4 linked regions of the Arabidopsis thaliana genome follow. The protein of the gene in region 2 purifies or fractionates together with the protein of the main gene of each other region. This does not show direct contact. Each region holds a gene or a part of one and is shown on either strand. Other genes may lie near its edges.

The links.
Region 1: the proteins of UBA1 (region 2) and AT3G18860 fractionate together in Arabidopsis thaliana (co-fractionation; one large-scale study listed by BioGRID). This does not show direct contact.
Region 3: the proteins of UBA1 (region 2) and UBP14 fractionate together in Arabidopsis thaliana (co-fractionation; one large-scale study listed by BioGRID). This does not show direct contact.
Region 4: the proteins of UBA1 (region 2) and AIP3 fractionate together in Arabidopsis thaliana (co-fractionation; one large-scale study listed by BioGRID). This does not show direct contact.

The regions. Positions count from the first base shown.
Region 1 is NC_003074.8:6,499,490-6,508,113, forward strand, and holds the start of AT3G18860 (transducin family protein / WD-40 repeat family protein), read left to right. Parts: upstream 1-2,178; 5' UTR 2,179-2,284; coding exon 2,285-2,350; intron 2,351-2,788; coding exon 2,789-3,120; intron 3,121-3,436; coding exon 3,437-3,540; intron 3,541-3,757; coding exon 3,758-3,826; intron 3,827-4,036; coding exon 4,037-4,097; intron 4,098-4,311; coding exon 4,312-4,451; intron 4,452-4,872; coding exon 4,873-5,062; intron 5,063-5,236; coding exon 5,237-5,298; intron 5,299-5,474; coding exon 5,475-5,563; intron 5,564-6,040; coding exon 6,041-6,113; intron 6,114-6,193; coding exon 6,194-6,253; intron 6,254-6,349; coding exon 6,350-6,496; intron 6,497-6,583; coding exon 6,584-6,622; intron 6,623-6,725; coding exon 6,726-6,763; intron 6,764-6,848; coding exon 6,849-6,935; intron 6,936-7,039; coding exon 7,040-7,205; intron 7,206-7,526; coding exon 7,527-7,604; intron 7,605-7,713; coding exon 7,714-7,850; intron 7,851-8,109; coding exon 8,110-8,186; intron 8,187-8,308; and 4 more. Other genes in the region: LPAT5 (lysophosphatidyl acyltransferase 5), read right to left, coding at 40-482, 587-717, 798-1,351.
Region 2 is NC_003071.7:12,851,546-12,859,879, forward strand, and holds UBA1 (ubiquitin-activating enzyme 1), read right to left. Parts: upstream 6,183-8,334; 5' UTR 5,966-6,182; intron 5,841-5,965; 5' UTR 5,825-5,840; coding exon 5,494-5,824; intron 5,132-5,493; coding exon 4,914-5,131; intron 4,617-4,913; coding exon 3,822-4,616; intron 3,410-3,821; coding exon 2,541-3,409; intron 2,216-2,540; coding exon 1,783-2,215; intron 1,684-1,782; coding exon 1,087-1,683; 3' UTR 784-1,086; downstream 1-783. Other genes in the region: AT2G30105 (LRR/ubiquitin-like domain protein), read left to right, coding at 44-163, 250-363. UniProt on the Arabidopsis thaliana protein: Activates ubiquitin by first adenylating its C-terminal glycine residue with ATP, and thereafter linking this residue to the side chain of a cysteine residue in E1, yielding a ubiquitin-E1 thioester and free AMP.
Region 3 is NC_003074.8:7,202,386-7,210,825, forward strand, and holds UBP14 (ubiquitin-specific protease 14), read right to left. Parts: upstream 6,163-8,440; 5' UTR 5,956-6,162; coding exon 5,860-5,955; intron 5,757-5,859; coding exon 5,585-5,756; intron 5,492-5,584; coding exon 5,379-5,491; intron 5,277-5,378; coding exon 4,940-5,276; intron 4,712-4,939; coding exon 4,617-4,711; intron 3,930-4,616; coding exon 3,796-3,929; intron 3,721-3,795; coding exon 3,664-3,720; intron 3,556-3,663; coding exon 3,478-3,555; intron 3,209-3,477; coding exon 3,154-3,208; intron 3,044-3,153; coding exon 3,020-3,043; intron 2,879-3,019; coding exon 2,798-2,878; intron 2,663-2,797; coding exon 2,464-2,662; intron 2,381-2,463; coding exon 2,323-2,380; intron 2,248-2,322; coding exon 2,122-2,247; intron 2,033-2,121; coding exon 1,944-2,032; intron 1,851-1,943; coding exon 1,761-1,850; intron 1,520-1,760; coding exon 1,349-1,519; intron 1,254-1,348; coding exon 1,141-1,253; intron 1,045-1,140; coding exon 915-1,044; intron 792-914; and 3 more. Other genes in the region: AT3G20640 (basic helix-loop-helix (bHLH) DNA-binding superfamily protein), read right to left, coding at 8,269-8,418. UniProt on the Arabidopsis thaliana protein: Recognizes and hydrolyzes the peptide bond at the C-terminal Gly of ubiquitin. Involved in the processing of poly-ubiquitin precursors as well as that of ubiquitinated proteins. Involved in seed and embryo development.
Region 4 is NC_003070.9:2,809,007-2,813,556, forward strand, and holds AIP3 (ABI3-interacting protein 3), read right to left. Parts: upstream 2,308-4,550; 5' UTR 2,121-2,307; coding exon 2,109-2,120; intron 2,021-2,108; coding exon 1,904-2,020; intron 1,180-1,903; coding exon 919-1,179; 3' UTR 772-918; downstream 1-771. Other genes in the region: PRA1.E (prenylated RAB acceptor 1.E), read left to right, coding at 1-556; AT1G08790 (1-phosphatidylinositol-4,5-bisphosphate phosphodiesterase epsilon-1, putative (DUF1685)), read left to right, coding at 2,983-3,472, 3,558-3,640.

The sequences.
Region 1 (8,624 bases), on a different chromosome or scaffold from region 2:
TTCCATCATGTGAAGTTGTGAACTGAAAGCAATGAAAGTTTATTTGTTTACTAATTTGAGGGAATTTTTTGCAGTCTCAACAAGTGGAACAGAACGAAGATTGAAATGCGTAGCAGAGGTCAAGTAGACACAGGCCAAAGAGACATAAATCCTGAACCAAATCATTGATGAGAAGAAGGTGAGATGTGTACAGATGGTGGTGAAGGCAATCACTGCCAAACAGTTTATGAGGTACTTCTTTGTGTTGAACTCTTTCTCTGTTCCTTCGTTAGGGAAATGACCATTGGAGTAAAAGTCATTGAGCAGCTGGTCTTTGAGCTGGAATGTGTTCATTAACCAAGCATTGATGTCCTTTTCTTGATTTGGGATTTGGGTCAGGTTGATACGACGGATGTGGATGTGAACTTCTGATGGCTCAATTCCATAAACGTTGTCTAAGAAAGATGGGCAGCGGGTTTTATAACCGATGGTCACATCATAAACTGCAAGTGCAATAGTGTTGCATCAGAGTTTGCGTTTTTCAAGAAGAGAGGAAAGGCCTAGGATCTTAAATCACTGATGCAAACCAGCAAAAGTATAGACAAACCTGCGTCAAGTGAGCAACTCAGTTCTTGCAAGCAGGAGACGAAACCTTTTGTCCTGGGAAGCAGCACGTTGTTCAGTATCGGAAGGCCATTTTCAGCAGCAAATTTCTTACTCCTTTGGCATTTAGCCTCTCTGCATAAAGTTCCATTGTAAAATGCTTTTAACTAAAAGGTCTCTAAACAAGAATGATACTCCAAAGAAAGGAAACGTACGTGTAATCTGTGCCCTCGGGGAAAAGAGCAAGCCATAAAGCGTCTCGGGGATCCTTAAAACTCGAAACTATCTGTCTCAAGTTTGCTTCATCGACTTCCCATCTCCTCTCAACTGGAATAAACTCAAAGAGGTGAAACGCCCAACCAAAGAGAGGTAATTTCATCAAACTACTCTTAAGCACATATTTGATATTCCCAATCTGGCCTTTACGCAGTGCAAGATCCCAGAAGTACATCCAATCAACTTCTGTTCGGTGGTTTGCAATGAGCAATACTCGATCCTCGCAAGGAACCTTATCACCAGAGAAGATAACTTTGGTTTTGTTAATCTTCTCAAAGAGGAAAGGCCACAAGGCGAGCCACGAGCCAAAGAAGAAGGAAACACATTTACGGCTATAGCGAATGCTGAAAAGCCTCAACACTACAGCTGATAAGAACCCCCAGAATATCAACATCATAAAAGCTGTTGAAACTAACACCATCAGACATATTATACCTCTTAACACTCTAATCAGAGACAACTTATCAGAATTTGGTACACTCTTTTTTTCCATTTTATACACCTTAAGATAATCTAATTAACCTCCCCCTTCTAGTCTTCTATTCTTGATGCAATGAATCACAAAGTTCATGAATTTCCTGTTACCAGAATCACCATCAGAGCTCATATGGTTGAACACAACATACTTCACCTGCAGGTAATGATCAAAGACACATCAAAATAAGAATCGATAGCAAAGTACTTTATCAACAGAAAACGAAAACAATGTCTTGTAATTTAATAGACTTATTCAAATTCATACAATCTGATTAATGTTGGATTAAAATAAAGAAGAAGCTTGTATTCTCAAACACATATATACATTGTCTAAAACAAAAACTCTCACCAAGATAATCAAGATTCAAGCACAAATCTCAGTGAGGATTAAAAAAGCCAATCAAGAACACAGCATTTGTAAAATTTATTATTGGAAAAAAGAAATTCAGACAGAGAAAGGAACCAGATAGAAGAAGACAGCTTACCATGGAACTGAGCTTCCAGGTTTTATTTATAAACAAACAGTGCAGAAGAAGAAGAATTTAATGGCCGAGAAAAATATCATGAAGGACTACGATCGTTTTGTGAAAATAGGCTCAGAGGTTGTTGCTAATTACGGTCTATGCCACTTCTCGTAGAAAGTAGTACTCTTAGGAAGGTGAGGAAATTTAAACCACTGTCCCCTCCTTTTTCGTCATTATTAAATTCGACACGTCATCGTGTTTCATTGTTCCCTTTATTCAGCTTATTATTATTTTCAGTCTATCAATTGGGCCGGGCTTTGAAAGCCCACAAAGGTTATTTATTATACGTTTATCCTTATATAAAAGAAAGGAAATAAGAAATTAGTTTTTCTCCTGCAGAGTGTTTCTCCTTCCTCAAGTCACTTTTTGAGTCGCAGCAATTTGGCGTTTGGTATCTCTCAATCTGCTGCTTCTCCTTCTCAGTCATGGTCATGGATATCGATTTCAACGAGTACAAGCTCAGGTGCGAGCTTCATGGCCACGATGATGATGTAAGATCTCTTTGCTAAATCCACTTCTTCTTTCTACTGTTTTGATTTCTCGTTTTCGTGATCGATTCTACTCTAGATTTTGAAATTAAGTCTTGTATTCAGTAGGGTTCAGCAAAATTCACCCTCGTGATTCCAATTTCACTGTTCCGCTTTTGATCCAGGGTTTTTCAATTCAATGAGCTGATTTGATAGTTAGTGTGAAGCTTTGTTTTGATTAGTTTTATTATTAGGTTGACTTCTCAACGAATTTGTACTCAATTTGAGAATTTTATCTAATAGGGTTTGATGTTTAACCTTGCGTGCCAATGGCATTAATATAGATCAAATTTATACAATTTTTCGGCAGGAGTGTGATTGTCTTTATGCTATTGAGCTTATGCAATTGAATAATAACTGTGATTGTGACAATGGAAACTCATGGTTTATCAACATCTTCAGGTTCGTGGGATTTGTGTGTGTAATGATGAGAATATAGCTACTTCATCAAGAGATAGGACCATAAGGGTTTGGTCACTGGATCCATCTGATAAGCGCAAGTATACCTCCGAGAAAATTCTGCTGGGTCATACTAGCTTTGTTGGGCCACTTGCATGGATCCCACCAACTGATGAATACCCTGAAGGAAGACTTGTCTCTGGGAGTATGGATACTTTCGTTTTTGTTTGGAATCTGATGAATGGAGAGAATATTCAGACATTGAAGGGTCATCAGATGCAAGTCACTGGTGTTGCTATTGATAATGAGGACATAGTTTCATCTTCAGTTGATCAGTAAGTCCTCCTGTTCATGTAATTTCCTTAGTATGACATTTACCAACTGTTTAGTCAATAATGCCTCTTACTTAGTATCCAGTGAGTGTACTAGCCTGCGGTTTTCCTTCACTGTTTCCCAGGAATTGTATCACATACAGGATATTATATGAATCTTAACCGTAGTTGTAAAGGTTTTATGAGTGTTAATTGTGTGCATTATTGTCTTGAGTAGCTTACTAGCTTTAGTAATACTGGGGTAAAGAGATCCATCAAATTTTGATTTACCCTCTACTGTTGTGTAATGTAACTTACATTTATTTATTTTTATTTGTAGAACCCTGAAACGATGGAGAAACGGTCAGCTTGTTGAATCTTGGGATGCACACCAGTCGCCTATCCAGGCAGTGATAAGGCTGCCATCTGGTGAGCTCGTTTCAGGTACATGATCCAGCTAAAGCTGTCATTTGATGCATTTGTTTCTGTTTTTTTTGTTGTTTTCTTGCTGCCATGGACTTCCTTATTCGATTGTATTTTCTAGTATGATCGTTTTGCAAGCTTAGGTTAAATGATTTTTTGGTTGTTCTTAAGATGCATATACTTCTTTTTGATTAGGCTTGACGGCATATTTTTCACTGATGTTACTTGTACTTACCAGGTTCAAGTGACGCCAGTCTCAAACTCTGGAAGGGTAAAACGAGTCTGCAAACTCTTTCAGGGCATACAGGTGAATTCATTACTCTCTCCCAAATTTCGTATCTCTCAAAATTTCCTTGTCAATATGAGAAACTGCATACCGGAAATAAGATAGAATCTGATACTAGCTGCTCTAAGATATCTTATCTTGTGAAGTGCCAAGACACTGGCCTGTTGTCAGGGATTCCTTGTTATTGGAGAAACTATTGTCTTATACAAGTATTTTTATTTTACAATGCAGATACTGTTAGAGGGTTAGCTGTGATGCCTGATTTAGGATTTCTTTCCGCATCACATGATGGGTAAGTTATTTGCTTCCAACAAACTCATGCCTTACTGAATTTCATTGTCCAAGTGAATCCTTATGTGCTTAACTCGAATTGTGTTGTCTTTTGCATGACCTGGATAAGTTTTGTGATCCGGGGATAATATGATACTTGAGTTTTCTCTTATTTATCCTTTCATGTGTTTGTACACAGCAAAGGTTGTAAATCACTATTTTATTTTTTCTAACAGTTCAATCAGGTTATGGGCACTAAGTGGCGAAGTTCTTCTTGAGATGGTTGGCCACACCTCCCTTGTTTATTCAGTTGACGCACATTCGTCTGGCCTTATTGTTAGTGCCAGTGAAGATCGTCATGCCAAGATATGGAAAGGTGATTACGGGTTCCTTAGTTTCTATTGATGCCTTGGCTGTTCTTCACTTATGTTTCACAGTTTTCTAGGTTATATGAGGTCTGAGATGTTTAAATTTGGAAAATATGTCTCCACTTTTCAGTATGTTGCTCGCTCTTAAAGTTTTCTTTCAATAATAAAGATGTCTATATATCATATTTTTGTGGAAGACGTGTTATAAATTTGATCACTTAGTTGCAACCTATGGAAAGTTAGTTGTTAGTATGTCAGACAGTAATCAACTGATCAGAAACCAGTTTGAAAGGCTCACGAAGATTGGTCTGCAATAGCTGTTATAATAGATATCACTTGCGAAAAGAGACTGACATTTTGGTTTAAAGCATGTTTAGATCTTATAGGTTGATCTATTGTTCTTACTTTGTTATTTTTGTTTTGGTACAGATGGAGTCTGCGTTCAGAGTTTGGAACACCCAGGCTGTATCTGGGATGCCAAGTTTTTGGAAACCGGAGATATTGTGACAGCATGTTCAGATGGAGTGGTTCGTGTTTGGACAGTACGTCATGATGCGATTGCAGATCAGATGGAGATTGATGCCTATGATTCCCAAATTTCTCAATACAAACTAAGCAGGTAATCTGATCATTTATGGTGATCTCTATTCTTATCGACTAAATTCTATGTCCATTGAGTTTTTTTTCTTCACGTGGCAATGCATATTATATGACCTGCTGACGGGGTATGCTTTCTTGTCTTTTATGCTCAAAATATAACTGCAAAGTATATGCGTGCTGTTCTTTATCTCAGGAAAAAGGTTGGCGGATTGAAACTTGACGAGCTGCCAGGGCTTGATTCTTTGACGTCACCAGGTACCATTTATTATCCAATTAATTGTAATATTAATGTTTCGTACGGGAGAAAGGCTAAATTTTAAAGAATCTCAAGAGAACACAAAGATAATTGATAGTGTCTGGCGATCAAATTTGAATAGATTAAGCTGGCATTCTTGTAACATCATCCTCTCTTATTTGATATATGTTCTCAGGTACCAGTGATGGCCAGACAAAAGTAGTAAGGGAAGGAGACAATGGTGTTGCTTATGCATGGAATATGAAAGAACAGAGATGGGACAAAGTAAGTAAACAGAATGAACTTTTATCTTTTTTTTTATTTGTCGACTGCATTTCGTTTTTGCTCTTGACCTGAATGCGGCTTTGCTATATATTAGATCGCATGCATGAATATACAGATAACTTCCCTTTGAAACAATTACCTTGAGGAATATTTGTTACTTTGTTCATCGAAAAGTTGCCATCGGATTAGGGCTTGTAATTTCCACGAATGAGCATGCTGTCTGGTCATAAATTGATAGCATGTACTGCCAGCAATTTGCCTTTTGCGAGGATTTTATTTAATGTGGCAACCCATACCTGAGAGGAAAATTTCATCTGATTTTGACTTCTGATCCTCCTTCGAAGTAGCAATCTCTTAAGTAGATAGCAAGTAAATGAGATAGATTTCTCTCTAACATTTGTTTGCATATGAAGGATTAAACATTGGCTTTTTAGTGTGGTAGAATGTTTTGAGTTCTCACTGCATGCCTTTTTTCAGATTGGTGAGGTTGTTGATGGCCCAGATGGTGTGGCTGATCGTCCAATTCACGAGGGAGTTCAATATGATTTTGGTTAGATTTTGACCTATTATGGAAACTTGAGAATCTCTCAAAATCGAAGAACAAAATTCTTAGCCCTTTTTTTTCTCTAGTTTTCGATGTTGACATTGGTGATGGGGAACCTATCCGGAAGCTACCTTACAATCGATCAGGTACCTGAATGCTCTTACTGGCCTTGTTTTATTACAAGTGCAACCACAAGAAACTGCTTCAGTTTTTGATACTTCAAATCTTTTCTTGTTTGGCAGACAATCCTTATGATGCAGCTGACAAGTGGCTTCTAAAAGAGAATCTCCCCTTTGCATATCGGCAGCAAATTGTTGAATTTATATTACAAAATTCTGGGCAGAAAGACTTCAACTTTAATCCATCTTTTCGTGATCCCTTCACCGGCGGTATAAAATTTTTGAAAATAATTGGTCTGAAATTTTGTTTTTAGGATTTTATTTTAATTTTGTGTTTTGCCTTTTATTGTGTAACAGCAAATGCTTATGTGCCTGGGCAAGCATCTCGTACAGCTGGTATGAATACACTGTCTGTGTCATTTTCACATAATACTTTCAATTTCTTCATTTCTTGTATTGTTCTTTTGCTGCCTCATGCTCTGACTCTTTTCTGTTGCAGCAACTCCGGCAAAACCTTTATACAAGCACATTCCAAAAGTACGCTGGTTCTCTTTCTTTATTAGTTATTACTGTTTAATGTTTCTAGCTTTTTGATCCTTTTTTCTTCCATAACTCTCTCCAGAGAGGTGTGCTAGTTTTCGATGCTGCTCAATATGACGGGATTCTGAAAAAGATGACAGAGTTCAATACTACTTTACGATCTGACGCAGTAAGCTTTCAGTATCAACTTTAGTCACACAAAATGATTAAATGGTTATTTTACTTATACTATTGTTGGTATTTATGTTTCTACAATTTTTCCATCTTTTGAAGGTAAACAATGACAAGTCCCTGACCGAACTCGAAGTATCCAGAGTAGGCGCAATCGTTAATATACTGAAGGACACATCACACTACCACTCTACCAATTTTGCTGACATGGATATTGCTTTGCTTTTGAAAGTGCTACAAGCATGGCCACCGGCAATGATGTTTCCTGGTTGGTCTTCTCTTGTCAATCAATTAGTCAAACAGAACTGTTTATTACATATTGAACTTTTGATGGTAGCCATATGTTTCTCAATATTATGAAGCCACAGCAAAGTCAGTTTTTTCCGAGATGCTTGTTAAACAATCTAAAATGAGATATGTTTTGGTTTATTTGGATGTTATTCTTGGTCTCCTTGTGTTTCTTTTGATGTTTCTTGCAGGCCATAAAGCATTTTGCCTTTCGCTGGCCACTTTATTTTTGTCTTTTGTTGGATATAGCCTTATGTTTATCTTGTGTCAAGCTCTTATACCTATGGTTTTGAATATGCAGCTACTGATATAGTAAGGATGCTCGTTTTGCATCATCATGGAGCAAGTCTACTTATCAAGCATGTGGAAAACAACAATGGTAATCATCTAATTCGTGAAGCTATGCTTTCTCAACATTAATGAAAGTACTAGCTAGTAGGTAATGTCCTTTATTAACTGGTATCTCTCTGTTACTATATATCAATCAGACCTGCTTTTGGATTTGATAAAGAAAGTTACAGAAGATTCTGCTCTTCCTGCAAATCTTTTAACGACTGTTCGTGTCCTTGTTAATCTATTCAAGAATTCTTCATTTCATTACTGGCTACAGACGCATCATAGTCAAGTAAGGACTCTTTCATTTCTATGATTTTATACCAGAACTAGGATGTGTGATGATCTCGATGAACCTACTAATTGGTTTAGCTGTGACTTGCAACCTGAGGAGAAATTTTTGGGTTTTATGTCTAATATACATTGCTTTTTTGCGTCTGGGCATATAAATTAAGTTTCTAATTACATTTAAACATAAGATAGTGCCTATACATGTGTGTGTTTATTATAATAATTTGAGAAGTGGTTTTAATTGCTGTGGATCAATGCAGATTCTTGATGCCTTCTCAAACTGTTATTCATCCCCAAATAAGAATCTGCAGTTGGCTTATTCGACGTTGCTTCTCAAGTAAGATCTCTCTTATATTACTTTCTTCTAGTTGGATTTTTGCCAAATTGTAGCTTTATTCTATTATTAAACTCTCTGTGGAGAAAGATCAAACCGTAATCTATGCTTTTGTTCTTCCTCAGTTATGCAGTGCTATTAATAGAAAAGAAGGATCAAGAAGGTCAAGCTCAAGTCCTTTCAGCAGCTTTGCAGGTACGCCTAAATTTGGTTATTTTTAACCACTGTTGCATACATCCAAATCCTATTCATCGTCACCGAGTTGAATCTCATCTGTTTTTATTTTGTCTCTGTCACTTGCACAAATCTCTGAGATCAAAGTAAAATCGGAGAAGACCAATGTACCAAATAGTTTATTATCATTTTTTTGGTGCTAAAAATATTTAACTTATTACTACAGGTAGCAGAAGAAGAAGCTGCAGATGTTGATTCCAAGTTCCG
Region 2 (8,334 bases):
GGCCATGGGTTTACAAATACTGACTTAGTGTTTCGGTATTCAGACGCTGGAGCTGAATAACACGGGATTGAAGACGCTGCCATCGGCTTTATTTAAGATGTGTTTGCAGCTCTCAACTTTAGGTCTCCACAACACAGAGATAACCGTTGAATTTCTCCGCCAGGTTTGTTTGTTCAGAGTTTCATGTTTTGAGTCTATAGTTCTTTCTTCGTTATCTGAACTGAAACAAGGATATTTGTATTATGACAGTTCGAGGGATATGATGATTTTGATGAAAGAAGACGTACCAAGCATCAAAAGCAGCTTGATTTTCGTGTTGTGGGATCTGGCCAATTCGACGAAGGCGCTGATAAATCTTGGTGATCAAGCCAAGTCGAGTCTCGAATCGTCAGTACTCTTAATATATTTGTGGCACTTTCAGTGAAAAAATCTTTCTCCTTCATGCCTATATATTGTTTGCTTACTCCAATTTGAATTGTAGTGTACCAAATAAATTGAACCACTCTCAAATTGAATCCAAAATTTATGCAATGAAACCGAATAAACGAAAACTACGATACCTATTGTTAAAAAAGCTCATCAATTCTATAGCCGAGTCAGTCAGTATAACCGGTAAAAAGGAAGTAAAGGCAAACAGCTTTTGAGTCTAGAATCTTGGGTTGGGGTTAAGAGAAGGTGGTGCTCGAGACTTGACCCTAGATTATATCTTTAGTTCTTTGCTTCAATTTGTTCTCTGTAAATAGATTCACAGAGTGGATATTATTTAAGGTAGATTATATCTTTCGGATTCTTATCGCGAAACACCACCTGCAAGAAGACATGGAAAAAACCGAAAAACTCGAAGATTTGTTTGATAGAACATGTTTAGAAGGTAACGGGTGTGTAAACCACACATTCAGCAATTGTACATAGAAAGAAAGACTAAAATAGAACGAGAGAGATAAAATGAGTCTCTATCCCCCTCAAGTAAAAATCAGTTATCTCACCCACAAGCATCCAAAAGATAATAACGTAGGGCAGATGCAGAGACAAAACACACAAATTTGCTCTCAAGAGTTTCATCTTTCTTCATTCTCTCGAAACTTTTCACCTGAAGTAGATAGAGACGAGAGGAATATCGACGTCATTGTCATCTTCATCCTCACAAGCCACCACTACATCAAGATGGTTGCGATAAGGCGGTAACTCGACTTTCGCAACATCCCGAGCGAGATCCACAACCTTCTTGTCCATCCTCTCCTTGTGCCTTGTGAACATACTGTTGAACAGAAGACAGCTTCCACAAGAGATGCTGTATGCGCTAAGCCCTTTGTCCTCCAGCCACTGCAACACCTCACGAAGAGTTGGGTTTCCCTTGAGAACCCATCTGTCCCAAACTGTCCAAGCCATGTCACGGTGCTTCACCACCTTTGGTGGAAGTGGTTCAGCCATGGAGAATAGTGGAAGTGCCAGGTTGGCAAATGTGTTTCTGTAAGCTTCCACTTTATGTCCTCCATCAAGGACCTTGTACAGCTCGAGGCAGACCAGCCCAGTAGCCATGGCTGTTGAAGTCGCAATGGCTGGGATGATTCTCCCTGCTATGAACTTTGCTTTCAGCTTGTCCACTTCAGGGATGCTGTAATTTCTCGCCCTCATGTTGGCTAGTCCTGCTATCACATCCATGTGATAGTTTGTATCATCATCCTACAAACACATCAAATTCAAAATGACAACACTCAGTTAAAAATTGTAAACAAGACAAGTCAATATCAGTGAAGACGATAACATTGGAGGGTAATATACCTTTTCGAACTGAATAGGTTTCATCCTGAAGTCTGGCGACAAGTTATGCCTACACTGGTCGATCTTAGCAATGAGATCGTCGATGACTGCAGCGTCGTCCACCGAAGCAGTGGTTAAAGTGGTAGCTTTCTCATCAGTCACAATCTTTGCATCTTGCCTTGGCTCAAAGTCTGGGACTATCACTCTGTCAACAGCTTCTGCTGCTTCCTTTGGGTTCTTAGTCCACTCAGGTATCGGGATCCCAAATGTCTCTGCTCGTAAAATAGCAGTCGCTGTGATAAAGTTAAGGAGACTTGGGTCGGACGACGAGTACTGGAGTGGACGAGGGAATCTTTTTGGAGCAGACCAGAATGGAGCTCCGGTACTAGTCGCAGCATCTTCAGGAAATGTGTATATCAATTGCTTGACACGGTTCACAAAGTAATCCTCAAACCTAGTCACATAACATAACAAACACATAAATTATTGCAAAAATCACAGACTCCACAGAGGAAGGAAACGATTTATTCCCACTTCTACATATTGGTTGTAGCTACCTGTTGTGAAATGAAGTTACCTTATAACACTGTTCCTAGTTTTTTATTTTATTTTTTAGTTTCGTAATGATGTTTTCAACGAATAATTAAGCAATCCTGGGATGAAGCACATGACAAAAGCATAAAATAGGAGACTGTAGCAGGACATGAGTAAGACACCGGACTATATTTCATTCCATATTACGACTAGACTATCTAACTAACTATTAAGAGTGATATTACCTCAGTCGTGCCCAGGTTAAGCAGTCTTGGAAGGTCTCACACTTCTCCTTTTCAAGGCACTCAACAATCCTCTCCAATGTGTCCCTCGCCTGAGCATCACCAGCACTCATCATTGAGTTAGTGTACTCAACTGGGCTAGAAAGATATGCATTCACTTCAGCGGGAGTCTTCTCCAGCAGACCCTCAAACTCAGAGCGAGCCCAAGTTAAACAGTGATCAATGTTATGCGGGAAGGAATGCACTGTACACATGGGGGCCTGTTTCTCTGGTGGGTCCCTTGAGGCACCGTAATTTTCAGTTAGATGTGGGATAACCGACTGTGTGTTGCACTTTGTACCAAGAGTTCCAGACTCAAGGAGAGGCTTCTGGAAATACAAGCACCTCGAATCAACATAGAGCCTCGCATTAACATTATCCAGTGCATTGACGACAACAGTTAAGTTCTCCCAGAAGGCATCGTCAAATACATTCTCAGTCTCCGCGCCAACACGGTTTTGCAGGGCCTCAATGTTGAAGCGAGGATTTATAACAGCAGCAGCCGAAGCAGCAACTGTGGATTTAGCCTGTCCAATGTTCCAGTCACGGAACAGAAATTGACGACTGAGGTTACTCTTCTCAATGATATCATCATCTGTCACTGTCAGCTTCCCTTGGCTTCCACAAGAAACCCCCATCAGAGCCAAATTTTTCAAGAACTCACAGCCAAGAGCACCAGACCCTACTGTGAAAACTTTAGCATCTTCAAGTTTCTTCTGGAACTTGGCCCCAAATACAGATATTTGGGCATCATACCGGCTGTTTCTTGGTGCAAAGTCACTCGAGTCCACAGGTTCAGAGGGGAGTGACTCCACTGAATCAAAGTAGAAAAACTGATAAACAAAAAGAGTCACAACATCAGATCCCAATACGAAACTTTAAACAATATAAATGTATCAAAAAAAGAGGAAACAGCTGTAACTTCCCACAACATAAAACATTAGGAAAAAGGAGAGATGCGTATTAGATAATGTTCCTTATTTTCATTAGAATTTCTATTTCTTTATTTACTTTATCTAAACAGCTTTCATTTAGCTTCTAATATATTACATAGGGATGAAGAGAGCTTAGGAATTAATTACTCTTGGGTGTATTTCAACTTCTGTCTTGTTACTTTGATTCGGTTTTAACAAAAGAGAGCTTTGAGTTTAAATTCTAGTGTTTAAAATTCTTAACTCGAACAGAGAACTTGGCATGCAAAGACTAAATATGTGTTCTCACAAGTCTATAGAAAAGAAATTTTACCTGGAAGAGAGGATGAAATTTTCCAGAGCAAGCTTTAACAACCTCCTGTCCAACAATACCGCCAAACATTGCAGCCATAGGATTCAGGACAGCCTTGGCTCCAAAGGAAAAGTGTCTTAGAAGCTTCTGATCAACATTCTCCACCTTTAAATCACCCTGCCCGGTATTGATGGCTGTGGCAATCGATATAAGCTTCTGAGCGTCCTCTTCTGAGCCAGCAACAGGAAATCTGCCAGCTTCAGCTTTAAAATGATCAAGTGCCTGGAATGCTAAGTGAAGGAGTGGAGGCCGATCAAACTTAGAGAAATCACTAAATAGAAAATCCCCTGGATCCTTAAGCGCTTCCCTCAATGGCTTGAAATTCAGTAACTTTGGCTGTTTCACTTGAGTGACAATACCACCCTTCACATATGTTCCATAGTTAGTAGTGTCCTCATCAAGGGTGAATGAATATGGCCGTGTACTTTTTATCTTCCTTGGTTTCCCATCATTCAATTCTGTCATACCCTCAACTTCTGAGAAAACAACTAGGTCACCATCTTCAAACTCAAGCCTCTCATCGTCGACACAGGAAATAAATGCCTGGTTCTCATTAGAGATAGACGCAATGATGCCTGTATGGGGTTCCTCTCCATCAACATCAAGAACCGCAAATTCAGGCCCAAAATCACAAAAGACAGAGCCGAAAAGACCCCTGACATCAGCCTTGACAAAAGCGATAGGAGGCTGATGGCTGTGACAATAGTCATCAAATTCGATTGCTCTTTCCATGCTTATGTCAGAGAATACAACAACCTGTTTGGCACAAAAGTAGATGTATCAGCGTAAAACCCGCCAACAAGAAACACACACCAATGAGAAAAGTGTACACCAATCTTCCATATCAATATCAATAAACACTAGAAATAGCCTAACACTAAATGAGACAAAACCCATCTCTTATATGCAACGAAAATAGAACAACCCACTCTTATGTTACTCATTCAGTTACAGTGTTATCATAAACTCACAAGTAATCTACAGAACGATACAGTACACAAAAGACTCAGACCATATAGAACCAATAACAAGACAAATGAGTTGTCTACAAACCTGGAAGCCAGAAAGATCCTCTTTGTTTAAGCTTTTGGTCAAGCTAGAGACAACCACAGCATTGTTAAGATCCTGTAACTTCTGAACAGAAGCATCTGCTCTATTCTTGCCAACATCATCCTCCGAGAAAACAAAGTTGCTTGATAAGTCCCATAGCTCTACAACTCTTTCATCATGCAAGGTCACAGACTTCACACCAGCAAGTATAAGATTCTTGGCTGAAGAAAATCAACAAATAAAACAAAAACTGAATGAGAAAGCAATCGACTAAAAAGTATCATTAACAGTTCACATTTACCATGCATCTTAGAAAACTGGCATATAACGAAACCCCAATAACAAAGATATCGAACAACTAAGGAACATCAGGAAGCTACTAAGATTTGGATGTTGAAGAATACCAGCAATCACAGATCAGGAGAACCAAAACAAAACAACTAAAGAGTAAAATCTTTGAAGATGACACAATTATTCACAGCTTCTAATAACGACGCATACGAAAACAGTGTTTCTACAAGTTTCAAAAACCAAAGAGACGAGGGAGACCACAATCTCAACATAAAACCAATGAAGTACATACCAATCTCGGCACCAAGACCGTGCATCCCCGAGATGAGAACATTGGAAGCAAAGAGACGCCTCATAGTCTCACGACCATAGACGGCGAGCTGGCGACTGTGCAGATCTTCATCAATCTCCTGACGGTTCGAATTACCAAAAGCCATGTCGATTTGCTGAACGACGCTATCGCCGTGAAAACCCCTGCTACTACCAGAAGCTAAAATCGAAGAAGACTTATCAGACGAAGATTCAGTGAAATCGATACGGCGTTTCTTAGATGATGCTAAATCGGAACCGATGATGGTATTATCGTTCTTATCGTTAGCTTCACTAGCTCGCTTGTGAAGCATAAAGTGATGAAAAAACCTGGAGAAAACATGTGAAATTCCCATTAGATTAGAGAACACTGAAGAGAGAAAATCCGATCAGAATTGAAATACCTAACCCTAGATTGATTCTTCGGAAGCTATGAGAAGGAAGATAAAACGTACCTTTGAGGAAAGCAGACGAGAGAAGATTGGAATCGGAAAAGAGAAAAAGTTTTTGAGATCTGAAAATTGAAATTGAAGTGACGAATTTTGCAGAAATCTCTAAGATTTATTTAAGAGAGACGGGCGAACGAAAGGGGTTCGGTTGTGGGGGGATATGAAACGATGACGTTTTAACGGTTAAGGTTTGATTTGTCGCTCTTTCTCCGCGTGATTGTGACGGCAACTCTCTGACCGGGGGACACGCGTCCGTCACTATTTCAAGACCAGATCCGGTTTAGTTAATTTCTTATGGATCCTTCTTATGAATCTGTATTAAATCTGAAATATTGCTTTCTTTTTTTAATTACCAAGTTCAAAAAAACTCACATCTTCTTTTGGATAACTGGAAACTTTAATATTATAATTAAATATTAGATCAATTTCCAGCTATGAATATTATAATTAAATACATTTTCTTCTAAAGTTTCTCAAAACAATCTTTTGAAAAAAAATTCATGACTTTCTATGACTTTATTTTGTGAAAGAAAATGTAGAAAGTCATGAACCAATAACATAATAATTTAAATCATAAACAATCAGAGATTTTTTTGTTTTAATAGAATAACACAAAAAATTTACTGACTTTATAAAAGTATGAATTCAATAATCTAAAATTTATGAAGATTTTTAGATTACTTTTTACAAATCTTTAATGAATAACACAAACTTTTAACATACTTTTAAATTTTTTTGATTAAATAACAACAGATTCTACATGATACTTTAAGTCACTAAAACTCTTTTGAAATCATAAACCAATAACACCTCCTTAACTCGTGGTTAGTTTATACAAAAATAAAACTCTATAAATTAATACTTGATAACTTACTTAATCACTATATTAATAAACGATTGTAAATTGAAATTTAACTTATGATTAGTTTGGTTAAAAGTGTAGATTTTGGAGTTGATGTTGCAATTCCATGGATAGACGATCTTGAAATATTTGATCGCAGTCCATGGGAGTGAGATTTCATCAACTTTCAATTTCTAGAGGGAGAAAGCAACAAGTCGTGGGTCTTCTTTTATCCAACTAAAAATGTTCATCTTGGATATTTTAATTGCAATGGTGCTCTTATAAAGTGGGGCAGTGTCAATTACTATGTTCATCAGTTTCAAATGGGTCAAGAAGTTGTGAGCACTTCTTCTAAACTAGCTTACTTAAGGTATCATGATGATTTACCCATAGAGTTTGTGGATGATTGGCTAAAAGGATGGAGTTTGGCAGAGTATAACTACAAAGGCAAAAGTCTCTACACTCTCAATTTCTCACCTCAGGCCAAGTCATTCATCACCCTAAGAAAAAACAAAAATGGAGTTGTGCAAAATATCTTCCCAAGACGAGTACTAATGATGCTGGTAAAAGAAAGGAATCCACTGGTGCTCCCAAAACGAAGAGGATTGCTAATAAAGACAAGGCTGACAAAGTGGCAAAGAAAACTAAAACTGGGGAAACCCTGAAGGTGAATGTACTTCAGAAGCAATACGAGTTAAAGGCATTTTGTCGAGCTCGACAGGCAGTATTGAGCTAACTGATAATGAGGGTAAGTGAAGAACTCTTCTATTTGTAAGAAAAAAACAGCAATTTAGATATGCTTAAAAGATAAGTTATCTTGTCAGGTGATCGTGCTCTATCTGATATTGGTGCTGCATTGGATGCTAATATGAGGAAGCAAAATCTGAAGCTTTAAGAAGGAAAGGCATAATAGATGCAGTTGAAACCTGGAAGCAAGCTAAGGAAGAAGAAAAATGGCTTCGTGACTACGAAAAGGTAGGTGAAGACCTGTGATACATCAAGAGAAGATTGACTTGATTAAAGTAAGCATTTCTTATTATATATTCTTGATCGTCTTTATAGGATGGAAACCTCTTCAATCTTGTAACTCGTAAGAGGAGAGTACGAACACTTAGAACGTGCTAAGAGTCTTGTCATGCAAATTCCTGGTGAGTCTTTATACGCGTAACCCTATTACCCTCTCTTTTTGAAGTAATGAACAAAGACTTAAGATGATAGTATTGTGTTTCTTTTCTAAGCCATGATTGAAGATCTAATCATTGAAGTGAAGGCTTGGGAAAAAGAAAGAGGAATCCCCTTCTTATATGATAAGGAAACACTTTAATGTAAACTTGTTGATTAAGCTTGTTTTTCTGATTCTGATATTGATTTGAGTAAACTTTGTGCATGTGGTTTGATAAAGCTAGCTTTTGATGTATGCCTCTGTTCTTTCTTTTTATCCCCTAGCACCCATTATTACAACTTTTGGAGGAGGAGATTGCAAATTGATTTGTATCAGTAGCTACTGATACAAATCAAGTGAAGTTAGTTCTGT
Region 3 (8,440 bases), on a different chromosome or scaffold from region 2:
GTATCTTCTTTTTCTGTTTGTGGGAATCGAGAATAATATGAGCGAATTTGAAGAACACGTGTTTGGAGAAGAAGAAACAATTCGTGTTATTTCTCTTCGAGATTATAATGATGGCCAGTGTTAACTATATAACAAATTAGCCCACTTTTTGATCTTAAAAACTAATTAAAAGATCTCCAATTTCAGTGTATCCCGAGATTAAATATTTTAATCAACAGTTTTTCTGCTAATGTAAAAAAAAACACTTATGATTCCCCTTTTATATCTTCATTTTTCATAAATCTAAGCACCAATGATGCCAAAACTGAAGGAAAAGCTCAAAACTTTTATCCAAAAGAAAAAAAAAAAAAACTGAAAGTAGTTGAGAACTGAGGAGGCAAATTAAAAAGACAGCGAATGATGTTTAGCTTCTAAACGGGTCTTAAAATTTGTGACGAAGTTCCACAGATAAAATCATCAAGTGAACCAAATTTACTAATCCACATGTAAGATTTTGGAACCGAAACTAGTCACATGGGTCACCTCAATCCAAATGTTAAAAACCCTATCGACCTTAAAAGTTTCTATTTAAAAAAAAAAGGATTAGTTTTTGTCTCTGTAACTGGCTCCATCGAATCAATCAAGCCGCTGAAAGAAGTAGACATAACCCATGTCTTTAGGAGGATCAGTCGAGATACCAACTTTGTCGTCATTGAAAATTACCCAGCGGCCTTCTTTCAATATGTGAGCCACGTAATGACCACAGTGCACTGATGTTCCCATGTGACTTACTATTCCAAACAGCTTGTATTCTGCATTTAAGATCAATCTTGAGTTAGAGTTTTATTCATACTGCTTTGTGGAAAAAACGAAACACTAACATTTGTTTTGCAAAATGAGATAGAAAGACTCAAAAGAGGGTTTAAGAAACTAACTCCCTCCTCCATCTGGTAATCCACTTTGAGCCGGAGTCTGCGCTGAATTGCTAGAGGATACATCCATGTCTGAAACAGATGCATTAGGGTTGTTGAATACCCAGTCTGTTGCTTTCTCAATGTCTCCTCCCTGATTAAAGACAAAAAAAACAAAACCGATTTCAGTAATGAGTAAAGAAAAAACAGCCTCGCAGAAATGTAACTAATTTGCTCAAAAGTGTTATACCGAGGCTTTTAGTGCCTTCCGAGCAACATCTTCAGCAAAACCAAAGGAGAGTAAGGTATCAACGCTTGATTGATCAATGTCAGATGTCTGGTGGGAGATTGGTGCATCGATGTCTATGAAACATAATGCCTCATCATATTAGAAATCGGTCTCGAGTCGTAATTTAGTTGAGCCTCAACTAAAGACTTGTGGAACTATTTTCAATTACCTGGATCATCCATGTGAGAAAGTAACCAGTTCATTGCCTCTTCAACCCCAGCATTGGAAGTATTTATGGCAGCTTTCTGGCAGTGAAGCTGGCTAAATCCCATTGAGACTAGCTGTGCAACTATCTCCTCATTTGCCACGGGCTGCGCTGATTCCATCACTTCTTCTGGAACTGTATACAGAAAAATCCAATAGCCAACAGAATTATAAGGAGACTGAGTGCCATAAAGAAACCGTTTAAGGGATGCTGATACTTTTTAATGATTAGGAAACTGAGTGCTAATTCCAAAGGCTAGTAGTCATGACACCAGAAAAGATACCACGAGTTTGAAACAATCAATAAATGGAGTCAATCAATCATTATTTATGTGAATTATGAACACACCACTCCTGTGATAAATATAACAACATACCGCCATCTGGCAACAGTTCTTCCCCAGGTTGGAGTCCTTTGCTACGCATGTGGCTGATATCAATAACATCCGGAACATCAATGTATACATCTGCCACAGTAAATCAAGAAAGGATAATAAGTATTTATATACAGGGACAATAGGGGAACATTATAAGGATCATTGTTTCAGAAAGAAAGAGACCAAGTTTCTTTGGCACCCAGCCTTCCTCCATAACAAATTTCCGCATGTGCAAGACCAAATAATCTGGGAAAGATGTCAAACCAGTTGTCCTGCATAAAATGGGAACCAAAAGTCAAGCCTTGCTTTCATTCTAATCTTGGTTGCAAAAGAATTCACTCGGTAAAAAACAATATCTTACTTGATAGCTGTTGTCATTCCCTTCAAAGCAGAGCTATAGTAGTCTTCAATCGGCTCTGATGATGCAAAATTTGCTAGACAGGCTTCTAAAGGAACTCGTGGGCGTACTATTTCATCACTTGACCTCCTGAAAATAAACAAAAAAATCTTAGATAAGCAGTGAAACTATGAAACAGATTTAAACTTAAGTCCATTGACTCACATATCATTCTCTTCCAATCCTTTTCCTGCTTTTTGCTTGTGAAAGGCTTCTAATTCATCTTGATCACCAAACATTAAGCAAAATTAAGAAACACGCCAAACGATAAAGGAAGAGGAACATAGACAGACGAACAGGATATACCTTTATTAGTTGCCTCATGTAGCGGAATGTTCAAAGAAAGAATACAGTCTTCCCTCTTATTATATCCAACCTTTCCAGACGGACAAAGGATCTTCTCTTCTATTCCAAACTTGAAGCTCCTCGAGGGGTCTAAATCTGGTGTCGTGTTGCTAGCACGCTCAACCTTGCCTACCAGATGGAGGAAAAAGTCGAGAGCATCCTACAAGACAGATTGGTGCTAGTTAGTATGAAAACATAAAATAATTTCGTTAACTGATGCCGAAAAGGAGTATCGTTCCAATACAAGTTAAAAAATAAACAAAACTCCGAACATTAAAAAAGACATGGTTTTCACCTGCTGTCTCATAGAAGAGAATTCTGCGTGGCTCGCGGCAATTACGTTTTTGAACATGCGAGGAGGTATTCCTTCTTGTCTCTATTATCGATTAAAAAACGAAACAAGATGTAAAGTCATCAGAAATCAACACAAGTGGGGTATGCAAAAAAAAAAGTGTGGCCATCCGCATACATATATTTATTCAAAAGTTAAACACAGGACTTCAAATAAAAATCTTACAGGATCTCCAGTTGTAGCATCCTTCTGCAATCAGAAGAAAGGCGAAATCAATGTACTGAGGCTCTAAAAGGTGGTTTAGATCATATACATATATATATGCATACAAGCAAAAATATTTCCTACTATAGTTATACCTGAGTTGCAGGCATTGAGTACTTCCCAGATAGTAAGCCGTGTCCAAGCTTTGTTCTACAACCAACAGTGCAAGGAGTATGAAATAAATATGCAAATTACCATGCAATTATTCCTCATGGAAATCAGATTAGTTAGAAAAAGTGCACAGCATATCAAACCAAACGGAGAGAAAAACAGAAACTAAAGCACGTGCATGCAGATACAGAGTATGCACAAATATAATCTTAAAACCCTTTCATCATAACGATGCCAAGATTTCAATCACATGATTTCAGAAAGTCCAGAGCATAAACTTAGTAACATTTTTTCTAACAATAACTCACAATTGCATATTGAGGTCCAAAGTTGGATCAGCAGGAGCCATCTCAAAAGCCATCTTTAAGCTCTGATGTGAAAAGTATCTGCAACAATCTCAGAACCAAAAGTTACTACAGTTGAATCAAAGAGCAAAAGCTTTGTTTTGATTTAAGTTATATAAGTGAAAAAGAAATATGGGCAATGGCATCTACCTTGAAATAAATGAATGGGTAGAGAAAACAATCTGCATCGTAGCTGCCAAGTAGCAACTGGCAAAAGAAAAGAAATGGGCATAAGACATCAACAAGGAAACGAAATCCCTGACAATTTTTCCATTAGAGTACCTGTTCCCAAGATTGACAAGTCCGGTATATCCAGGTCCAAAAACTGGCACCAATTCTTTTCCACTCTCTTGTATACGGTTCCAATCAAAATTTGTATTTTGATCAAGTTCTCTTTCAGCAGTTGTCATTTCAGTCTGTGAAAATTGTAGCAAACATTTCAAGAAAGTTAACATTATTCAGATTAAAACCAGCATGGGATATCTTTAGCAAAGATGATGATCAAGGCAGTACAAACAAGAAAACAAATACAGGTGACTATAAAACCTATGCTTTGGGAAATGAAGCCTCTTAACTTAAGCAGTACATGGAGCAAGGAAAAATGAGGAAAAAAGACACAATACAGTTTACTATTGTAAATGTTTACATGTGACGCAACAATTACAAGTAAACAGACTGAACGCGTGAATGGGAATTATTGTCTCAAAACGACCTGAAATTACATTCTCCAAGTGCACTGCGTCTTTTTAATCGCAATTATAAAAAAGTACGCAATAACACTGATGTGAGTCTACTTGCTCTTGGTAAAGAAACATTTAGTCTCAGACATATTCCATGTTTCTACAGTTGTTTTGTGGCAATTGATACTGAAGAAAGAAATGAACACAAGACATAAGCTTTCTAGTACAACCAGCACTTGCCAATGCAACCCAGGATGGGTATCTTAACAAACCATATCATTATGGGAATACCTAAGCTTGAGTATCTAATAAAAATGCAGTACACGAAATTCATTACCACAGACAAACAACAATATAAAGTGTCAGACAAGATCCACTCTTCACTTTTATACTTTAACAGAACCATGAACCATCATTACTAACCTTCTGCATCGACGAGAAGTCAATTCCAAAATGGGCCAGATGCTCAGCCAGGAGCGGGTCCAAAACACTGTCATCTTCCGGATAGGAATAAACATCTGAGCTGCCAAAAAATTTGCAATGATTAAGTGCTGAAGAAATCAAAACCCATCCAAAGAACAAGATAATCCACATGCATCAACATTAAAAAAAAAAAACAAAGTGATGCAGGAAGTCCCCCTTATCCACCCCAAAGAGACAACTATCAACTGATATTAGCCATACACAAAAGTGAAGTTTAATGACTAATCTCTGGTTCTACGAATAAGGAAACAAGACAACTTTACCTGCTGCTTCTAAGTCAGCAGTGATAGTTCCAAGCTTTACAGCAAGAGGGTAGGCTGTCTCTTTGTAGTGCTCAACAGCATGGTTGTTTCCACCAGTTCCATCCCAGTTTTTTCTTCCACAGAGAATCATTCCATCGGTAAGATTAAGCCAGAGATTCTCCGTCTTATCACACTTAGAACATTTCCAACCAGAGGGAGGAATGACAATGCCACTCTTGATTTGCTGCAGTGTCAATGCATGTTCACTAATTAACTTTTTCTCAGCTGTCCAAGCTGCAACTTGCTCTTTCCGCTCAGCACCAACGGCATTCACTACAGTATCGACAGCAATCCTCACCTGCAATAACAAATCACAAAAAGCTAAATACATGCAATGTGTTTTCCATAAACCACTCTCTGATAACACACCTAAAATCAACAACATAGTGCTAACAAACACCTTCTCTGGTAGCTCAACAGAAGGAAACGGGAGTGAAACAAAATCCGGAAGTATGACTATGCTATAAGACTCCTCGTACTCTGGCTCATTGTTATCAAAGCCTCCATCAACACCTGCAAATTGATTAACAGTTCAAAACCAATCTCTCGACTCTATGTTCAAAAATCAGTATAGATACGGCATTGTAATCATCATTGTATATATACCTATAGCGAGCAGAGTCGGTTTCTTGAGAGGCCGATCCTCGGGAATAGACTTCCTAGTCTGCTTAATATGAAGATAAACAGGGTTTCCAGTCTTCTCATAGTTCCAAGAAACATAATCCTTCCCGAAAGCAAGAAAACTATTCATATCAACGAACAATCCTCCTTCGGATCTCTGAAAATCATCATTGCGAATTCATCAAAACCGAAGAAAACGAGAGAAGAGTCGAGAGTAGTCGGAATTTGAAGAAGAAAACGAAGTGAGAGAGAGGCTTTACCGGAGTATCGAAGGAGATGCAACACTCATGCTTGTAGATGCGATGAGTAGGTTCAGGGATCTGAACCCTAGACAAGTTGGATCGGAGGAGCTCCATAGGGTTTTTGCGAAATCGGCGAAAGAAACTCTCTGACGACGGAGAGACAGATATGTGTTGTTGAGTGATATCACACGTCTCCGTTACAACTTAACAAGGAAGGTACGGATGATGAGAAACGTCGTCGTCCTTCTAAATTCCTTTCTTATTGCCTGAGGTTTTGGGGAGAATTGCAATAAAGCAAAAGTTGTTGTCAATTTGGGGAAATTTCGTTAACCGACTTTTTGTTGGGTTAATTTTGAAAATATTCTAAATTAAGGATAGAGTTTGGATACACAAAAAGAATATTGTACAGCCCATTAGAGTTTGTATTTACCCAATAGACCCAAGACTATTTGATTGACCCATATGCATGGATGTAGAATGAATCAAAAGAAGAAACCATAAATCACAATGTGGCCAATGTGGGTTTTACATGTTCTTGTTCAACACGAAAATTACTAAGTGTGAGGATATCGTTTGATGATTTTTGAAATGAAAAAAAAAAGGTGGATGTCTACTCTTGGGAAAAAGAGGTATTCAAAGTTCATGTAATATATGAATGCTTATGATTTATGAAGAATGAACAATGGTGATGAATCAGATCCAACTCCACAAAGATTCCTTGGTTCTTCTAGCATGCTAAAATGTTTTGGTTCAACTCGATTGTTTAATTAATGTGTTTTTGGGCTACTTAGCTAATTAAAGTTGTCTTGTTTTCATAAGGCCAATTCCAATCACGGAATATCACAAGTCTGTACATTTCTCAGAATTTAAAATCAAATACATCCACAACAGTGTCGACGAAAACTATATTTACGAAACAAGACAACTTTACATGTGGTGCTGAAAACTATAATACTAATAATAGTCCGAGTATATATCGTTTATCAATGACTCAATGTATAACTTATGCATGAACTAGTGGTAATTTGATGAATAGTATAAATGAGAATCGCGGGATAACAATACTCTAAAGAGAACAGAAGTCACCTTTTTCAGTTACCTCAATTTTAGAAATTTTTCATATTTTTTTTACGGACAATGATATATCAAAATCAAACTGGAATTGATAGGTCAGTGATCTAACTTCATGTCCTTAGATCTCACTGTGTTGGTTCAAATTTCTATATAAGAAGTTAAAAAGGCCTAAATCCACTAGAGTTGTTGACAACAAAATAGCAGAGCCGATTTTTTTCCATACAAGTTTCTCCATATAGAAAACTATTTCTCTTTTGAAAATACTCGTATCCCTTTAAACAATAATTCAGTTTAATGAAAATGTAAGGAGGCGGATTTTTGGGAAGCATGAAATGCTTTTTTTTTCTTTAACAAGTGTTCAATAAAGAACCTTTCTGATATAAAAGTAAAAACCATTGTGGGCCATATCTTACTTCCACTAACATTATTCCAAAGTTATAAAAATATATCTGTCCCAAGATTTTTTTCCTCTTGTCCAATCAAAATATGCATATTAACACATTACTCTCTCTTATTCGTGGAATCTAATTATTCCCTTTCAAAAATTAGAATAGCTAAAAAAAGGAAGAAACAAAAGCTCCTTTTCTCCATAATTAAATCACCTTTCTCCTTCTCTGAATCAATGAAGACAATACTTACATTATAGATCCCTACATTCTTCTCTAACGAATAACTTAACATCTATCTTTCATACATAACATCTATTCTTCTCTGAATCAATGTTTATACTCTTTGGAGGGAACGGAACACTCGTCTGCACACTTCTTCTTCGAGACCTGCTGCTGGACTGATTATGGAGATAAAGAATCTTATTCGCACTCATCTTGATCCTCTCTCACGAGCTCAACGTATTGGCCCCAATGGTTTATCGTACCTCGCCACTTGGTTCGGTCTCTTTATTTGATCATATGCTTTGTTTTACTTTTCTTTGTTGTTTTGTAGGTGTTACTCGTTTTGGAGGCGGTGTGTATTCGATTTCGTTTTATAAATGAAGGTAATGTTAAAAAAAAAAAAAAAAAAAAAAAAAAAAAACATCTATCTTTCATACATAACTATTATAACCCCCCAAAAAAACCTATAGATATATGTTTGGAATTAATTTGGTCGTGTGAAAAAATACATGTCAAATCTCAATAGCTCTTATATATCTATGCATGGTTCTTCAATTACACATTATTTTTTAGTTCTATGAATAAGAAGTATAAATGGACAACACGTTTCACTTGTCCATTAACTTATCTCCTCTTCGTTTAAAAATGCGGTGATTCTTATCAGCAATCAACGTATATATTATAAGTTAAAAAAGATACGTACGTTACCCGACATCTAATATACGATTTTCCGTCTATATATCTATCTAAAAGTCCCACCAAATGTAGGAGTCCAGAAATCTACTGTAGTATCGTGTGTCACTGGAAATGTGCTTGAAACTGGCACTAAGCATAAACCTCGACTTCTAAGATCTGGTTCTTCTGATACTTCTAGCTCTGTGGAATGATCACTCTGCATCATCATTAGAAAACAA
Region 4 (4,550 bases), on a different chromosome or scaffold from region 2:
CACCACAATCATCGGGACGTTGAGTGCACGCGCCAAGCAGACGACGCAATCGATGATCACGACGCTCCGTCCATGGCGAGAGATTCTCGATCTGTCCGCGCTCTCTCTCCCTCGCGGGTATGATGAAGCCATGGCGCATCTAAAGCACAACATCTCTTATTTCCGTGGAAATTACGCTCTCGCCGTTCTCGCCATTGTTTTCCTCGGCCTTATTTACCATCCGATGTCTATGATCGCTTTCATCGTCGTCTTCATCGGATGGATTCTTCTCTATTTCTCTCGAGACGCAAACGATTCGATTGTGATTTCGGGGAAAGAAGTAGATGACAAGATCGTGCTGGTTTTACTCAGCTTGGTAACGGTTTTGGCATTGGTATATACAGATGTGGGCGAAAACGTTCTGGTTTCGCTGATCATTGGTTTGCTCATCGTCGGAGCTCACGGCGCTTTTCGTAATACCGATGATTTGTTTCTTGATGAAGAAAGTGCTCGCCGTGGTGGCCTGGTGTCTGCCGGTTCTGGTAACCGGCCACCGTCGAGTTATACCCCAATTTGAGTAAACCGGTTTGGAGAATTACTCGTAATTTCTTGGGTTTTTGATTGAAGAAGCTAAGGGAATCAATTTAGGGCTTTGTATTTTGGATTTCCCAAAGATTCTTGTATTTATATTTTGGCGTGTGTGTTTCATTTTGTTTGAATGTATACAAATTCTGGGAAAAAACAAATTGGTGTTATGGTATTTTATAGAATTGCCAAAAACATAATTTCCGATAGAAAAAGAAAAGTATGCATTAACCAGATGAAATTTCATAATGAACAAAACCAGTATGTTAAATTCAAGAATCCTTTGGTCTACACTCACAGTAGAATCATAAACTGATGCAATAGAAGAAAAACAAAGTTGGGAATAACTACTAACTAGTCTTCTTCAAGATTGATAGAATCTTTGAACTTAGCATACAATACCTTCTTCAGCGCTGCCATTTGTGTTACAATTGATTCCTTCTCTTGCTCGAGTTTCTCAAGGCTTTTGCAGGTCGCTTCTTTCATCTCTTCTATCTTTGTTTCTACGTCGTCCCTCGGCACATGAGCAAACACTTCTCCTATTTGAAAACGCACCATCTCCTCATCAGCAAGGATCAACTCGTTCCCTGCATCCTCTAGATTTTCACACTTTTCCTGCATAAATCAATTGTTTTTTAATCAAGCTAGATGCAGAAACACACAGTAGAATGCTGTTTTAATCCCCCTAATGAAACGATTGAACAAGACAAGTATCCACTTATTATTGCAAAGTCCCACATCTCCCTTTTTGTTTCCTACACATGCTGAACTATCAACACCATTACAATATCTAATTACAGTGATCTGATATACCCTAGCAGGCTTATATTCACCAACGAAGGAGAAAGTTAAGGGAGCAGTGATATGTAAGAGTGCACGGATGGTATAAGCAGGTTACAGTAGATTGGTACAACCTAAAGAGAATGTAAAATGAGATATGAGAGTATAGAGATTCTCTTGTGGGGTTATCTGAATGAAGTAAAATTACAATTTACAACAATCAATAAAATCAGGAATTATCTCAAATAATCTTAATCATGATCCTACACTAGACCAACAACACTTATCATATACTCTCAGGATCATTGTAATTAGCTTTTGTATCGGGTTGTAGCAGTGCTGATTTCATTTCATCAACAAGGAGTTAATCAGTTAGCTGAGAGCAAACCGATGTGTAGTAGATTCATTATTTGGTGAATTCATTACGGGATTGGATCTAATCACAGTATTCCACCACCTAAACGATGCAACATAGCGAATTGAATCCATGAATAAAACCTAATCTTAAAACCCTAGAATCGTGTAGAAGAAAAAATCAAGGATACATAAAAGAGAGAACCTTGGCGGATTTGATATCGTCATCGAGGTCATGGACTCTGTTGTTGAGACGGCTGAAGATATTAATGTTCTGCTGGTCCTCCCATGTCACCTCCATCTCAGATCCACTCTTACTCCCCTGCAACATCATCATCAACCATCCATTAGCATCAATTGAAGAAGATGCTAACAAAATAAATTACTCCTATTCGAGATGATTTTCTTACTTGCTGCTGCATTTTCGTCGCACTCTGGGGATTCAGGCCAAATTTCAATAGAACGTTGCTGTGTGAGAGAGAGTTGTGAGTTTCTTTCCCGACCGATTTTTATTAGAGGCTAGGCCCAACCGAGTTATTCTGGTACTTCCCGGTATAATGGTTTTGATACCAAATTATGATTGATTTTTGGTCTTTTCGGTCGAGTTTGTCCCACTTGGCTTGGAATTGGTTATTTTGCTTATTTCGTTATTGATTCGTAAATTTTGTAACATACTAACATGTTTAATTAACTAAATGATACTTGTACTAGTTTAGTGGTTATACCATCTTGTTAGTTGCAAGTGTTAGTAATATGTTTCGACCAACAACAACACCAAAAATTTCTAGAACAAAACCTATATCAAGTAAGAGTTAGTTATTCCAACAAAAACCACCAAGGTTTGTTTTTGGATTCTGTCTCCATAATCAATCAAGCTCCAGAATCTCCCCAGGGAATTAACAGAGAGATCCCTTTAAAAATGGCAAATGGAAATTCTACAAACCCTACTTTTAAACAACACCAAATGTGTGGTAGAAGAAACTCATTGTTTCTGTGTTTTGTAATATCACACCATTAAAGTTCACCAGAAAACATATCTCCTTCTGTACATTAATAAAATAAACCAAACAGAAAAAACTTCTTACCCCTTTTCTTCTTCCGGGATGAACATTTTTTAAAGGGAATCAGAGTTCTGGGATTTTCACTAATCTATTCAAGTTCTTCTGTTTTTCCTCGCTTACATGAGCTAACTTGTACAACAAGGCACATCATCACAAAAATATTCTGCCCCTTGTTGATAATCATAAACGTGCCTGCGATTTCTTATATTAACAACAGAGAAAGATGGTGAGGGTTGGAGAAGCATTGAGTGTATCAACCTCATCGTCGTCATCTTTCTACGACAGCGAAGTAGAAGAGCTTCAAAAGATGCCATTGGAACCACCGAAAGCTAAGGCTAAGAAACGTCTCTCGAAGCAACTCTCCATGTTAGAGACCCGTAGAGACATCGCATGGGAGCGTCGCCGTCGCCAGATGCTCCATCACCTTGAGAAGCATAACGAAGGAGGAGATGACTTGACGGACGAGGACTTGAGTGAGCTCAAAGGATCTATTGAGTTAGGGTTCGGGTTTAACGAGGAGCAAGGGCAACATCTTACAACTACATTGCCTGCATTGGACCTTTACTTCGCTGTGACTCGTCAGATCTCGCCGGTTTCTACACCAGGCAGTGGTGGATCTTCTTCATCCTCCCGTCCTACTTCCCTCGGAGACCGATCTTCCTCTTTTGGTAGTCCAATAAGCGACTCTGATTCTTTGAAGGTTATGTCTCCAGGTAACATAGCAACCTAAACTTTTTCGTCAGATTGATATTTTCATAATATGATTGTGTTTTGATGTTATATTCTATAAATTTGCAGGAGATGATCCTCAACAGGTTAAAACGAGACTGAGGCATTGGGCACAAGCTGTGGCATGTTCTGTGATACAATCTTCCAATTAAGCATAGAAGTGAGAGATGTACAAGAGTGGGACATGAATGATACTACACAAATTTGGTTGAGACAAAGGAAGTGTTGTAGAAATTAAGGAAGCTTAAGACAGATTAATTAAGGAGTTGGTTAAGACAGAGGAGGACGGATTATTGAAGTTCAAACTAAAAGAAGAAATAAGAATGATGCATGGTGGTCTTACATGTTATTATTCTTGAACCCTTTTTTTTTTCGCCAAAGACAGTTTTTAATTTTTTAGATATCACTACTTTAACAGTAAGAAAATATTTTAGATATTAGGTTTTGGCTTCTCTTCCTCTTTTAATTGTCTTTTGTAAGTTTGTATTATGCGTATCAACCTTCTTGTTATTTTCCAAATTCGAGGTCCTAACACCAACAAAGAAATATGAGTTTAACAAAGGACATTACGTATAAGTAGTTTATAACGAAGAAATGTACAACAAGTTTAACAAAGTTGCATGACTTTTGACATGCTAAACAAAAGTATCAACCAACCTAATAAAAAAAATCAAATGAGAACTTCAGAACAAAACCTACATTCACTCTTCACTCAAAACTAGAAGAAAAATGCAAAATAAACACAAAGAATATGAAAACCCATAAGGAAATTATGAACACCAAACCCAAAAATGAAATCGTAAAGAATTCTGAGATTATCGTATACGAAAGGGGAAGGCAATGAAGACGATGCTATACAGTTTCTTTAAGCTTCTTGAATCTTGAACTTCTTTTAGTTTCCTCTACAATATCCTCTCCACAAAGGTGTCTAACATATTAAAAAACCAGAACGACATATGAATAATAAGATGTTTGTACAAAGAGCTATAATTTCCGCAGGTGAAGTTATCTGAAGAACAAAATCAACACAACAATCAGGGAAGAGGAAAGAACATACCTTTG